Saccharomyces cerevisiae S288C: one gene and its partners. The protein of the gene in region 4 binds, or shares a complex with, the protein of the main gene of each other region. Each region holds a gene or a part of one and is shown on either strand. Other genes may lie near its edges.

What was found.
Region 1: MRPL23 (region 4) and MRPL13 share a complex: the UniProt entries of both Saccharomyces cerevisiae proteins name them as parts of the mitochondrial large ribosomal subunit.
Region 2: MRPL23 (region 4) and MRPL27 share a complex: the UniProt entries of both Saccharomyces cerevisiae proteins name them as parts of the mitochondrial large ribosomal subunit.
Region 3: MRPL23 (region 4) and MRPL36 share a complex: the UniProt entries of both Saccharomyces cerevisiae proteins name them as parts of the mitochondrial large ribosomal subunit.

What each region holds. Positions count from the first base shown.
Region 1 is NC_001143.9:449,844-452,871, forward strand, and holds MRPL13 (mitochondrial 54S ribosomal protein mL50 MRPL13), read right to left. Parts: upstream 1,375-3,028; coding exon 580-1,374; downstream 1-579. Other genes in the region: YKR005C (uncharacterized protein), read right to left, coding at 1-108, 178-324; MEH1 (Meh1p), read left to right, coding at 1,591-2,145; RSC4 (Rsc4p), read left to right, coding at 2,358-3,028. UniProt on the Saccharomyces cerevisiae protein: Component of the mitochondrial ribosome (mitoribosome), a dedicated translation machinery responsible for the synthesis of mitochondrial genome-encoded proteins, including at least some of the essential transmembrane subunits of the mitochondrial respiratory chain.
Region 2 is NC_001134.8:766,631-769,180, forward strand, and holds MRPL27 (mitochondrial 54S ribosomal protein mL41 MRPL27), read left to right. Parts: upstream 1-1,609; coding exon 1,610-2,050; downstream 2,051-2,550. Other genes in the region: glutamine amidotransferase subunit DUG2, read right to left, coding at 1-976; SSH1 (Ssh1p), read right to left, coding at 2,313-2,550. UniProt on the Saccharomyces cerevisiae protein: Component of the mitochondrial ribosome (mitoribosome), a dedicated translation machinery responsible for the synthesis of mitochondrial genome-encoded proteins, including at least some of the essential transmembrane subunits of the mitochondrial respiratory chain.
Region 3 is NC_001134.8:483,363-486,167, reverse strand, and holds MRPL36 (mitochondrial 54S ribosomal protein bL31m MRPL36), read left to right. Parts: upstream 1-1,664; coding exon 1,665-2,198; downstream 2,199-2,805. Other genes in the region: transcription factor TFIIIC subunit TFC1, read left to right, coding at 1-1,426; GRS1 (glycine--tRNA ligase), read left to right, coding at 2,801-2,805. UniProt on the Saccharomyces cerevisiae protein: Component of the mitochondrial ribosome (mitoribosome), a dedicated translation machinery responsible for the synthesis of mitochondrial genome-encoded proteins, including at least some of the essential transmembrane subunits of the mitochondrial respiratory chain.
Region 4 is NC_001147.6:610,002-613,060, forward strand, and holds MRPL23 (mitochondrial 54S ribosomal protein uL13m MRPL23), read left to right. Parts: upstream 1-1,997; coding exon 1,998-2,489; downstream 2,490-3,059. Other genes in the region: SMP3 (glycosylphosphatidylinositol-alpha 1,2 mannosyltransferase), read right to left, coding at 1-1,387; DNA-directed RNA polymerase II core subunit RPB2, read right to left, coding at 2,996-3,059. UniProt on the Saccharomyces cerevisiae protein: Component of the mitochondrial ribosome (mitoribosome), a dedicated translation machinery responsible for the synthesis of mitochondrial genome-encoded proteins, including at least some of the essential transmembrane subunits of the mitochondrial respiratory chain.

The DNA of each region.
Region 1 (3,028 bases), on a different chromosome or scaffold from region 4:
GCAGTTATCCAAGTCCTCCATTGTTTCATTATTCACAGTAACGCATGACCGACAAAATGCATATTGTTCATCAAAATAACGGGACACGCATTCACTTAAATTTCGTTTCTTCACATGGATCTTGTCAGTAATAAAATCTAGAGAATATTAGTACCTCGGTAAATTTGTTGTACATACGCAACTGGAGAGGAAGGGGGAAATCAGTTGTGAATTGTAACCTGGACATAAGTTAGGATCTGCCACAGTTTTGCTTTGAACCGCTGCGAGAACGCTCCCACCACCACCGGCAAAGAGAACCAGCAGAGCGCTTAGACATTCCAACATTATCAGTATATCTCGTGTGTTCCTGCCTCTTGATGATTTTAGCTAGCTGTAATGTGTAACGAATTATTCCCTTACTGCTTCTTGAGTTAGCCGCCAAAGAGGAAATATAGCCACAAAAAGAACTTACAGAAAAGATAAGGTAAAAAAAAAAAGTGATCTATAATGGGAAAGAAAAATCCAAACTTCTTCAAAGAGTATATATATGTACAGGATATTAAAATGTAATGATAGTAGTAATAATAGTATTAACATAAGCTAAGCGGATCTTGCTGTTTCCAAAGCTTTTCTTGTTGCATCATCCTCTAACTTTTGAATTTCTTTCATAATAGTATCATATTTACTTTTTTGCTCTTTAGAAGTAACATCGTTAACAACATATATGTTTGGTGACGCGTAATTATCAGAAAATGGGTGGATAGCATTTGGCTCAGCTTCTTTATAAGCGAGTTTAGGATCGTTGGCAGATGGCAAAATTTTTTCCTTAATATACCTTTTAAACTGCAAGGGTGTGCTTAAAGTGGTCAGTTCATAATCAGGAATTAGATAGCCAGATTTAGATTGCAAAAATTTGGTGAACTGAAATTTAGCTACCAAATCAGAGAATTGGACGTCCTGGTCTACTTTGCCCAATGTTTTTTCCGTTGCCTGCAATATCATATCATCTAACTGATTATCAGACGTAATCTTATCCCTGGATAACCACTGATTGAATGGCGCAGAGGAGACCGCAAGCTTCAACTCCTTCTGTCTCTTACACCGTCTAGACCCTTCGCCAATAAAATTTTCTGGTATTAGCTCCAATCTGTTTTTGTTATTGGAAGAGGATTGAGAGGAAGCCTCGTTAGTGCCTTCTTCAATATCCTTTATCAACTGTTTGGTGTCCTTGACAGGCTCTTGGTGCTCTTCTTGCTTCTTCCTCTTGAACCATGACATAAAGTCCCCGTTTGCAGCGGAACTGTGAATACATCTGGCTTTCTGCTTGTAGCCAGAGAGCCAGACCGACCTTTGCGGCAATGGTCTAATACAATGTAATTTAAGCAGTGACGACATCCTCATACTATGTCCGCCTTTCCGTCTACCCATTATTCACTTCAGGACTGATGATCAGGCATGCAGTTAATTTGACAGAAGTCGTTGTTTCACTATAAATTTGTCAGCTACCCGCCTCACCAGCAGCGATAAAGAACGAAGAATAAAAGAGAGCATTCACAGAGTACGAATCCAGTATAGCGGTAGTGGATACAACGACAGATTTAAGTCGTAAAAATGGGAGCCGTACTCAGCTGTTGTAGAAACCATTCCGGCGAAGAGAATGAAGCTTTGCTGAGGGAACAGCAGGCAGGCTATGGAAGTCAAGGAAACGCAAATGACGAATACGATGCCGAACAAATGCGGTTGAAGGAACACGAACACGAACAGAAACTGCTGGCCAGGGAACAAGAGTTAAGAGACATTGTTGCAAACACCAACGATAAACTAATAGACATATCGATGATAAACAATAGTGGCATTGTAATTCAAGGGACAGACCTGCAAGAAGCTCTTGATAAAAGACAACAGGAAGAAGGTGGAGATTCCCGGGAAGACGAAAGGAGTGCAGGTGATGACAACCTCAGTGGGCACTCAGTGCCTTCAAGCGGATCCGCACAGGCAACTACTCACCAAACTGCACCAAGGACTAATACGTTTACTCTGCTTACATCACCGGATTCAGCGAAAATATCAAAGGAACAGTTAAAGAAGTTGCACTCTAATATACTAAATGAAATTTTCAGCCAGTCCCAGGTAAACAAACCAGGCCCCTTGACGGTTCCCTTTTAATGAACTTTTTGTATAACATCATTGGTATACAAGCTTTATAAATAAATGTTAAATAGTTAATGAAATAAAAAATCACATTTGACGAATTCGGAAGACAAGTAGCCCAAGAAAAAAAACAACAAAAGCATGCTAGAGGATGATGTTTAAAACGACCCTCAGCCTGTTATTACAATAGAGAGCAAACCAAAGAATAATAGATAAAGTACACAGATATGGTAGTTAAGAAGCGTAAGTTGGCAACTGAGGCCGGTGGCAGTGATGAAAGGCCTAAATACTTGCCGGGAAAACATCCTAAAAACCAAGAGAAAACTCCGCATGTGGATTATAACGCCCCATTAAACCCTAAATCTGAACTTTTTCTAGATGACTGGCATATACCTAAATTTAATCGATTTATTAGTTTCACTTTGGATGTTCTTATCGACAAATACAAAGATATTTTCAAAGATTTCATCAAACTACCAAGTAGGAAGTTTCATCCACAGTATTATTACAAGATCCAGCAGCCAATGTCTATTAATGAAATCAAGTCAAGAGATTATGAATACGAAGATGGTCCAAGTAATTTTCTTTTGGATGTTGAGCTACTGACAAAGAATTGTCAAGCTTACAATGAATATGACAGTTTGATTGTAAAAAACTCCATGCAAGTAGTAATGTTGATTGAATTTGAAGTATTGAAGGCAAAAAATTTGAAAAGAAATTACTTAATTAACAGCGAGGTCAAAGCCAAATTACTGCACTATCTTAATAAGCTAGTTGACGCCACGGAAAAGAAAATCAACCAGGCTCTGCTGGGTGCGTCATCTCCTAAAAACTTAGACGACAAAGTCAAGCTAAGTGAACCGTTTATGGAATTAGTCGATAAAGATGAACTTCCTGA
Region 2 (2,550 bases), on a different chromosome or scaffold from region 4:
TTGTTTTCAGAGTTGAGATTATTTGCTGAGTATTTAAGTCCCAGATTTTTATAATCCCGTCAGTCAACCCGCAATATAAAAATGGGAACTCAATAGTTTGGGATATGACGCTATCTTCATTGTCGATTTTATCGTTTATCAAGGAGATTTTAACAGTGTTTTGCCCTTTATCTTTAGAGAACTCCCAAAGCTTGCTTATTCCATCACCAGCGGATGAAATTATGTGCTCTGCACCAGAAGTTCGTGAGCTTTTTTCCAATAACTGATTAAACCTGGGACACAATTTATTAATAGAATAAATAAACCCATAATGTGCATATTTAATAATGTTTTCGGAGGGAACCTCTATGATGGCAGCGCCACAGTTTTCTTGTAGAGAGGTCAATGAAGTTTGAGATAATGAATTTGAACTATATCCAGTCGGACCTAACGAATCAAAGAACTTATCATATCTTCTATGCGGTAATTTATTGATATTTTCTACTCCATCAGAGGATTTTTTTTCAATCTTCTGAATCAAGTTCTCAACATATAGTAAGCTTGCATTTTGACAGCCAAAGACAATAGTTTCCAACGAATCCAAATATGCCAATGAGAAAATATCACCAATATCGGTCACTGAGTAAACAGTGGCTATTTCAGTAACAGGTAGAAAGTCATCTCTAATGGTCTTTTCGCCAATGGACCAAATTCTCACCAAAGAATCTGCGCCGCCTGAAAATAAAAAGTTTTCATCTTCTGATCCTGTCAAGCACAAAACCGAAGATCTGGTATGCGTTTCCTCTTGTGATTCGCCTAGTCTAATCGTATGTATTAGATTATATGTGGGAAGATCAAAAACCAATATCTTGGAGTCTTGGCTACCAGCAAACAACAATCTTTTTTTTGGAAATGCAACAATGGATAAGATGGAAAAAGCGTGATTCCACCTATGAATTAGTTCAGAGTGCAATGCGACACCCCTGCTATCGTACATGATTTCACAATTACTTCTGCCCTCGTTTTTCACTTTTCCTTACAGGGTTGTTCGGTTTCTCGAAATAGTTTTTCACTTAAATAATTCAGTTACACACATTTTATTGATATTGGTGCCACAGCTTTTCGCGGCGCACAATGCGATTATCACTCAAGTTTATGGTAAAGTCGGTATTCCCTCTCATGAGAAAAAAAAAAAAAGATACCATCTTCATTGAACTTCTAATTGCAGCAGTAATTGTGAGCAATGCTCAAGAGCTTCCTTACCATATAACAAAACATCGAAATCAGAGGATCATTCTAGATCAAAGTGAAATGCCCTTAACTATGAAAAGGAATACGAAAATAGCTGTGAAGTGTTATTATAATTATTAACAAGGTTAGTAATCTTTAAACAGAGCCTAATACTTGCGGGAAGGACTTTCAATGTTGCTTCACTGCAGCTTGTTGGCGGCTATTTGATGATGATTTTCTTGAGATACATAATTATTATTATCACGTTTCACGGATTATTTTTGAAAAGCTAGAATTAATACAAAAGATAGGACTATTGAAGTAGTATACACCAATTTTTGCTTAAAAAAACTACGGGAATCAAAGATTACCTTGAAAGTGAGGACAGCAAATAACTAAAATGAAAGGCTCACCCATTTCTCAATTTAGTAAGACCTCTATTAATGCTCTTACCAGGCCTTGGAAGAAATACAGAGATGGTGAATTATTTTATGGGTTATCAAAAGTTGGGAATAAAAGAGTGCCGTTGACCACGAAGCAAGGTAACAAGACGATGTACAAAGGGACAAGAGCTTCAGGGATTGGTAGACATACAAAATTCGGTGGTTATGTGATAAACTGGAAGAAAGTCAGAACCTATGTTACCCCAGATATGGTTAATTTCGAATTAAAGCCCTACGTTAACGCAAATGTACCACCTCTAAAACACGAATTTAAAGGATTTAGCGGCGGCCCATTAGATCCTCGTTTACAGTTATTAAAGATAAAAGAATACATAGTAAACGGGAGGGTACAAAGCGAAGGGGCCACCGACACTTCATGTTATAAGGAGCGTGGATAAGTTATTTATAATCTTTCTTCAATATGCGTGTAAATACTAGTTTTCGACTTTATAGGTAGATAAAAAATAAAACTTAAGATTGTAAAACAAAATCAAATAAAACATGGCTTAGACATTGCACCATATGTCATCTTTCTTTGAGTTAAATATAGATACATATAAATCTAAAAGAAGAGCAAAAAGTTCGTACGTATATAAATGCGCGTAGCAGAGAGAATTTGATCTTCTTTTTTGTTTTCCTTCTTTTTTTTCTTTTCTTTGTTTACATAGCACCTGGAACACCCAAGACTTGATTCAAAGCACTTTGACCGCCACTTTGTTGGTATTCAATGGTAATGACTTCTAGCAAAGAAAACCCACCAGCAATGCCAACAACTATACCAGCAGCTTTACCTTTCAAACCCAAAGATTCACCGATAACGGTGATCAAACTTAAGACGGATGCACCCGTAACAGCTGCGATTGGAATGACTTTGTTCAATTCTTTAGCGACATTCTGT
Region 3 (2,805 bases), on a different chromosome or scaffold from region 4:
TGCAAGAGAGTTCAAAAGTAGCTTTGGCTCTCTGGAATGGAATAATTTCAAAAGTTTTGTCAATTCTGTACCAGATAATGACTCTCAACCTCAGGAAAACATCGGGAATTTGATCTTAGACCGTAGCGTTAAAATTCCGAGTACAGATTTCCAACTGCCGCCACCTCCTAAGTTATCAATGGTTGGTTTCCCCCTGCTTTATAAATATAAAGCTAATCCATTTGCGAAAAAAAAAAAAAACGGTGTCACAGAAGTGAAGGGAACATATATCAAAAACTATCAGTTGTTTGTTCATGATCTTAGTGATAAGACAGTTATACCGTCCCAAGCTCATGAACAAGTCCTGTACGATTTTGAGGTCGCGAAGAAAACAAAAGTCTATCCAGGCACTAAAAGTGACTCTAAATTTTATGAATCGCTGGAGGAATGCTTGAAAATTTTGAGAGAGCTCTTCGCTAGACGTCCAATTTGGGTTAAAAGACATCTTGATGGGATTGTCCCGAAGAAGATACACCATACTATGAAGATAGCGCTGGCACTCATATCTTATCGTTTCACAATGGGGCCTTGGAGAAATACATATATCAAATTTGGTATAGACCCCAGAAGTTCAGTGGAATACGCCCAATATCAAACAGAATATTTTAAGATTGAAAGGAAATTACTATCTTCTCCCATAGTGAAAAAGAATGTACCAAAGCCACCACCCCTGGTATTCGAATCAGACACTCCAGGCGGTATTGACAGCAGGTTCAAATTTGATGGAAAAAGAATACCGTGGTACCTGATGTTGCAGATTGATTTATTAATTGGTGAGCCAAACATTGCAGAAGTTTTTCACAACGTCGAATATTTAGATAAGGCGAATGAACTAACTGGATGGTTCAAAGAATTAGACTTGGTCAAGATAAGAAGGATAGTAAAATACGAACTTGGTTGCATGGTTCAAGGAAATTATGAGTATAATAAATACAAGTTGAAGTATTTCAAGACAATGTTATTTGTTAAAGAATCCATGGTACCCGAAAACAAGAACTCAGAAGAGGGAATGGGTGTTAACACCAATAAAGATGCTGATGGGGACATAAATATGGATGCAGGTAGTCAAATGTCCTCAAATGCCATAGAGGAGGATAAGGGTATCGCTGCTGGTGATGATTTTGATGATAATGGCGCCATAACTGAAGAGCCAGACGACGCTGCTTTGGAAAATGAAGAGATGGACACTGATCAGAACTTGAAGGTGCCTGCAAGTATAGACGATGACGTGGATGACGTTGATGCAGATGAAGAAGAACAAGAAAGTTTTGATGTTAAAACAGCGAGCTTCCAAGATATCATAAATAAAATAGCTAAACTAGATCCTAAAACCGCGGAAACAATGAAAAGCGAGCTCAAGGGATTTGTTGATGAAGTCGATCTGTAATAAGTAGGTTTTCTTTTATTTCAATATCAAAATATGCCAAATGTGCAATAAAACCATAACTACGTATGTGATATTTCTGAGTTTTGTCCCCAAACCGTAAAGAGCGATTATCTCGTGCAAAATGCATCAAAATCAAATAACTAAAATGAAAGGGTATCATTATTATTCCTAAAAGTTAAGAATGCCTCCAGAAAGAACGGGTACCAACGCAAACGAACACACGTTTTGTTCACTCCTAATGTTGAAGTCTATATTTGCGAAGCGATTTGCTTCCACAGGGTCATATCCTGGTTCTACAAGAATTACTTTGCCAAGAAGGCCTGCAAAAAAAATTCAACTGGGGAAGTCACGACCGGCTATTTATCACCAATTCAATGTCAAAATGGAGTTGAGTGATGGAAGTGTAGTTATCCGGAGATCCCAATATCCAAAGGGTGAAATTAGATTAATTCAAGACCAGAGAAATAATCCGCTGTGGAATCCTAGCAGGGATGACCTAGTCGTTGTGGATGCTAATTCTGGTGGTAGCTTGGACAGATTTAACAAGAGGTATAGCTCTTTGTTTTCTGTCGATTCAACGACCCCAAATTCAAGCTCTGAAACAGTTGAACTATCTGAAGAAAATAAAAAGAAAACACAGATTAAAAAGGAGGAGAAGGAAGACGTTTCTGAAAAAGCGTTCGGTATGGATGACTATCTATCTCTGTTAGACGATAGTGAACAACAGATCAAATCAGGTAAGTTGGCCAGTAAGAAGAGAGACAAGAAGTGAATAGTGTTTGCTCCCCTTACTTTTCTATTCTCGAACCAATTTATATTCCTTTTGGGACATAGATCTCAATCGCATCTGTTTGAAGACTACATAAACAGCCTTGTATATACCGCAACATATACACATACGTCTACATATGTATATATTGACAACGAAGATTCTGCGAACGCTTGGTTTGGCGCTATCGCGATAGATTAAGTGCAACAAGACACACATTTACAAACATAATATGAACCAGATATGATTCATGGATTATCGAGGCAAATGGTCTGTGAATGAAGCTCACTTACGCTGCAATAAGCAGCAACGGCATTGTAGTGATCATTTTCTACGCCTCGTAATATTTCAGCGCAGTGGAAAAAAATTGAAAATTTTTACTCTTCTCGAGTGTTGAATCACTGCTGCGATACTTATCACGTACTTTGTATACATAATTTTACTTGCAATTAGGACTCGAAATCTGTTCAATTACTTTTGAGGATTTCTTTTATTTTAGTTTCCCTTTTTGCATTCGTGTTGATTTTCAAGAAAAATTGTCGTTCTTCAATATCAGTAGACGATTTTACTCTCAGATTGTTAAAAAATCGGTTAAGATTAAAAGAATGAG
Region 4 (3,059 bases):
GAGTTACTAAAGTTAGTGGAGTTATGGACCCGTTTAAACGCAGCCGCCTAATTGTTTCTGTTAAAAGTGGTAAATCACAGCCTTTAAGGTCTATTACATGATGGTTACCTACACTGAATGCCACTTCATCTATCGACTCAATACCATCCTGTGTATTGATAAGAGAAGAAACGGTTAGGTTATTGCTCATATACATCCAGGTGGGTGGTGAGTATGTTTTCCACCATATGTGAACGCCCATTTGTTCGGTACGAAAGTGGAAGTAATCTCCCAAAAATTGGATAATTCCTGCTTGATGTGAAATTCCCATGATGAACGCCATGATTATGTTAAAAAGAAGCCAAGTTCCCTTGAAAATTTTCTTGTTTACTAACGTGGAACTCAGAGGTGTCCAGTTTAAGTTTGTCACGAGTAGTGGCACTAGCGGTACAAGGAATCTTAATTCTTGATGTTGAAAGAATGAAAGAAAAAGCAGGCCAGATATGATTGCGTAAGTAGATAATTTATCGAGTTTGTAACCGGAAAAAATCGCTAGCAGCAATACTGGGCCAACTATTTGAGGTAAATTGACCAGCAGATGGGTGTATCTTGGATGTAATCCATGTACTTGCAAATTTTGGACATTGAGGTTGTATTTCAGGTTATTCAAGGGCGTAATGACAAATCCCTTTCCGTTGTTATAAATATTTGTATCAATAAGAACAAATAGACACGAGGAAAATGAAAATGAAAGTAAAAGTAAAGAAAAGGATTTCCAATGGACCCGGTAAAACTTCCAGAATAATATCAAACATGGTAAGAAAATAAATGCAGGAAAAGTAACTCTATTAAAAACACCAAAACTAAATATAAGTCCCAATATAACCGAATTTTTGAAATTACTTCTTTGAATATTTTTTTCGTTTACCATATCTTCCATTACAGTTAAAGTTGAGATTAAAGCCAGCGTTTCTATGGAATTGGAAAACGTGTGTGTTTGGTACGTCCAGGTTACGTAAGAAGTTAAAAGTAGACTTTTTTTGATGAATTGTACGGCCTTTCTCTCATCCCTTATTAATTTAGGTATTAAAAAATGATAGCACAATAGGTACATCACATAGTTTTGTAGTCTCATCGAATACAGAATTAACGCTGGGTTGTCCTGAATTTCGGGAAAAGATTCTAAAATAGTGAACAAAGGCCCGTAAACCAATAATAGGGGGCCGTAACTCCTAGCAGCAAATTTTGATTTAAATTCCCATGGGATGGTACCTTTGACCTTCATGAACTGCATAGCCAAAATCTCGATGCATTGGAAATGTTCATCTGGATGAATATACGACGGGCCTAGGCATAGCATTAGGCCGATGGCATATACTAAATAAAGCCACCATTGATACCTCATCATACACTTCCAAGTACCTGATGTGTGCTTGCGAGTAAGAATACTATGATATCTTATCGGACATATAGATTTTCAGGCCTTTTGTATTGTGTTTTCATCTTTATATTACTTCAGATTGTGCGCATCTCGCGAAATCCTCAGAGCTTCAGATTTGAACTTGTTGCCGACATAGTAAGTCCTCTCAGCACCTTACTGTAGAAGCACCTTTATAAGTTATATTAAATCAATACATCTTCTATGAGATACATAGATCGATAAGTTGACTTTTTTTCACTATATTAGTGACTGGTTTTACTTCTTACAAACATTACAGTCCGCACATAAAAAGCTATTACGATGTCTATATAATGTTTTGCTCTATATTGCACGTACCAAACACGCTACTAGTAAGACATGAGTTCCATCTAGCGAAGAATCACCGCACGCTATGGTTACTTAGACGGTTATGGTTTAGTTAATTATCGTTATAATGTTGATTGTTACCCGCATGGAGCCTTCCTTGTAGTTTAGAGATCTTTAAAACGTTCTAAATAAGTAAAAGAGAAAGACCTTATGAATACACTGATATCATATAGAAAAAGAAAGCAATACCAGCATCAACAATAGCCTATTCATGTCGCAGAAGATTGGACACAGTGGCTTGGCTTTTGCGCGCCTTTGGCACCATGTCGACGTTGCCCGTGATAAGAGGACATTGGGTAGATTGGCTTCAGCAATTGCAATTACCTTAATTGGTAGACATAAGCCGGTCTATCATCCGTCACAAGACTGTGGAGACTACGTAGTAGTGACTAATTGCCAAAAAATCCGTGTAACAGGTAAGAAATTTGAGCAGAAGACTTACTGGTCTCATTCAGGTAGACCTGGTCAGCTAAAGTTACAGACAATGAACAAGGTTGTTGCCGATAAAGGATTTGGAGAAATTTTGAAAAAAGCAGTTAGCGGTATGTTGCCTAAAAATAAATTGAGAAAGCAACGGTTAGACCGCTTAAAAGTTTTCGATGGAAGTGAAAACCCTTATAAACAAAATATTACTGCCTTTGCCCATGAGCAATCATCAATACCAGAGCCTCTTAAAGAATCAATTTTTAACCAATTGAAATAGCTTATTGAAATTATTTGTCATTTTTTTATATATCCTTTTTGCAGTCTTCAATCCATGTATATATTTATCTGTTATGTAGTTTTAATCAAAACGCGTATTAAAATCTTCTTTCTTTTATGAATACTAAATATATTTAACAGTGTGTAACAGCAACATTGTTCCAAAATGAACACCGTATATTTTTCTTATAACTTTTTACATAAGTCATTATTTATGACTTGGATATTTAAGGTTTTCCGCTAAAGTTCATTAATATGTCTTGATAAAATTAAATTTTAATTTGGTAAAATGCGAAACAAGGACTATAAATAAACACTGTGAGTCCCATTTTATTCATCATTATTTTTGTGTTTTTTGAATGCTTGAAAGTTCTCTCTGCTTATTAAAAGAAATGCTTCATTCTTATTTTATTACTATTGCCTACTTGTTTACCCTTTTTTTGGCAAGATCAGCACAAATGAAATGTTTTTTATTATTTTACTTTCTTAGAGTTACAACATTATTTCTTAAAAATCTCTCGAACGATCGGTATATAAACGTGGTGTAATGTTCATAGCCATAAGTTCTTGG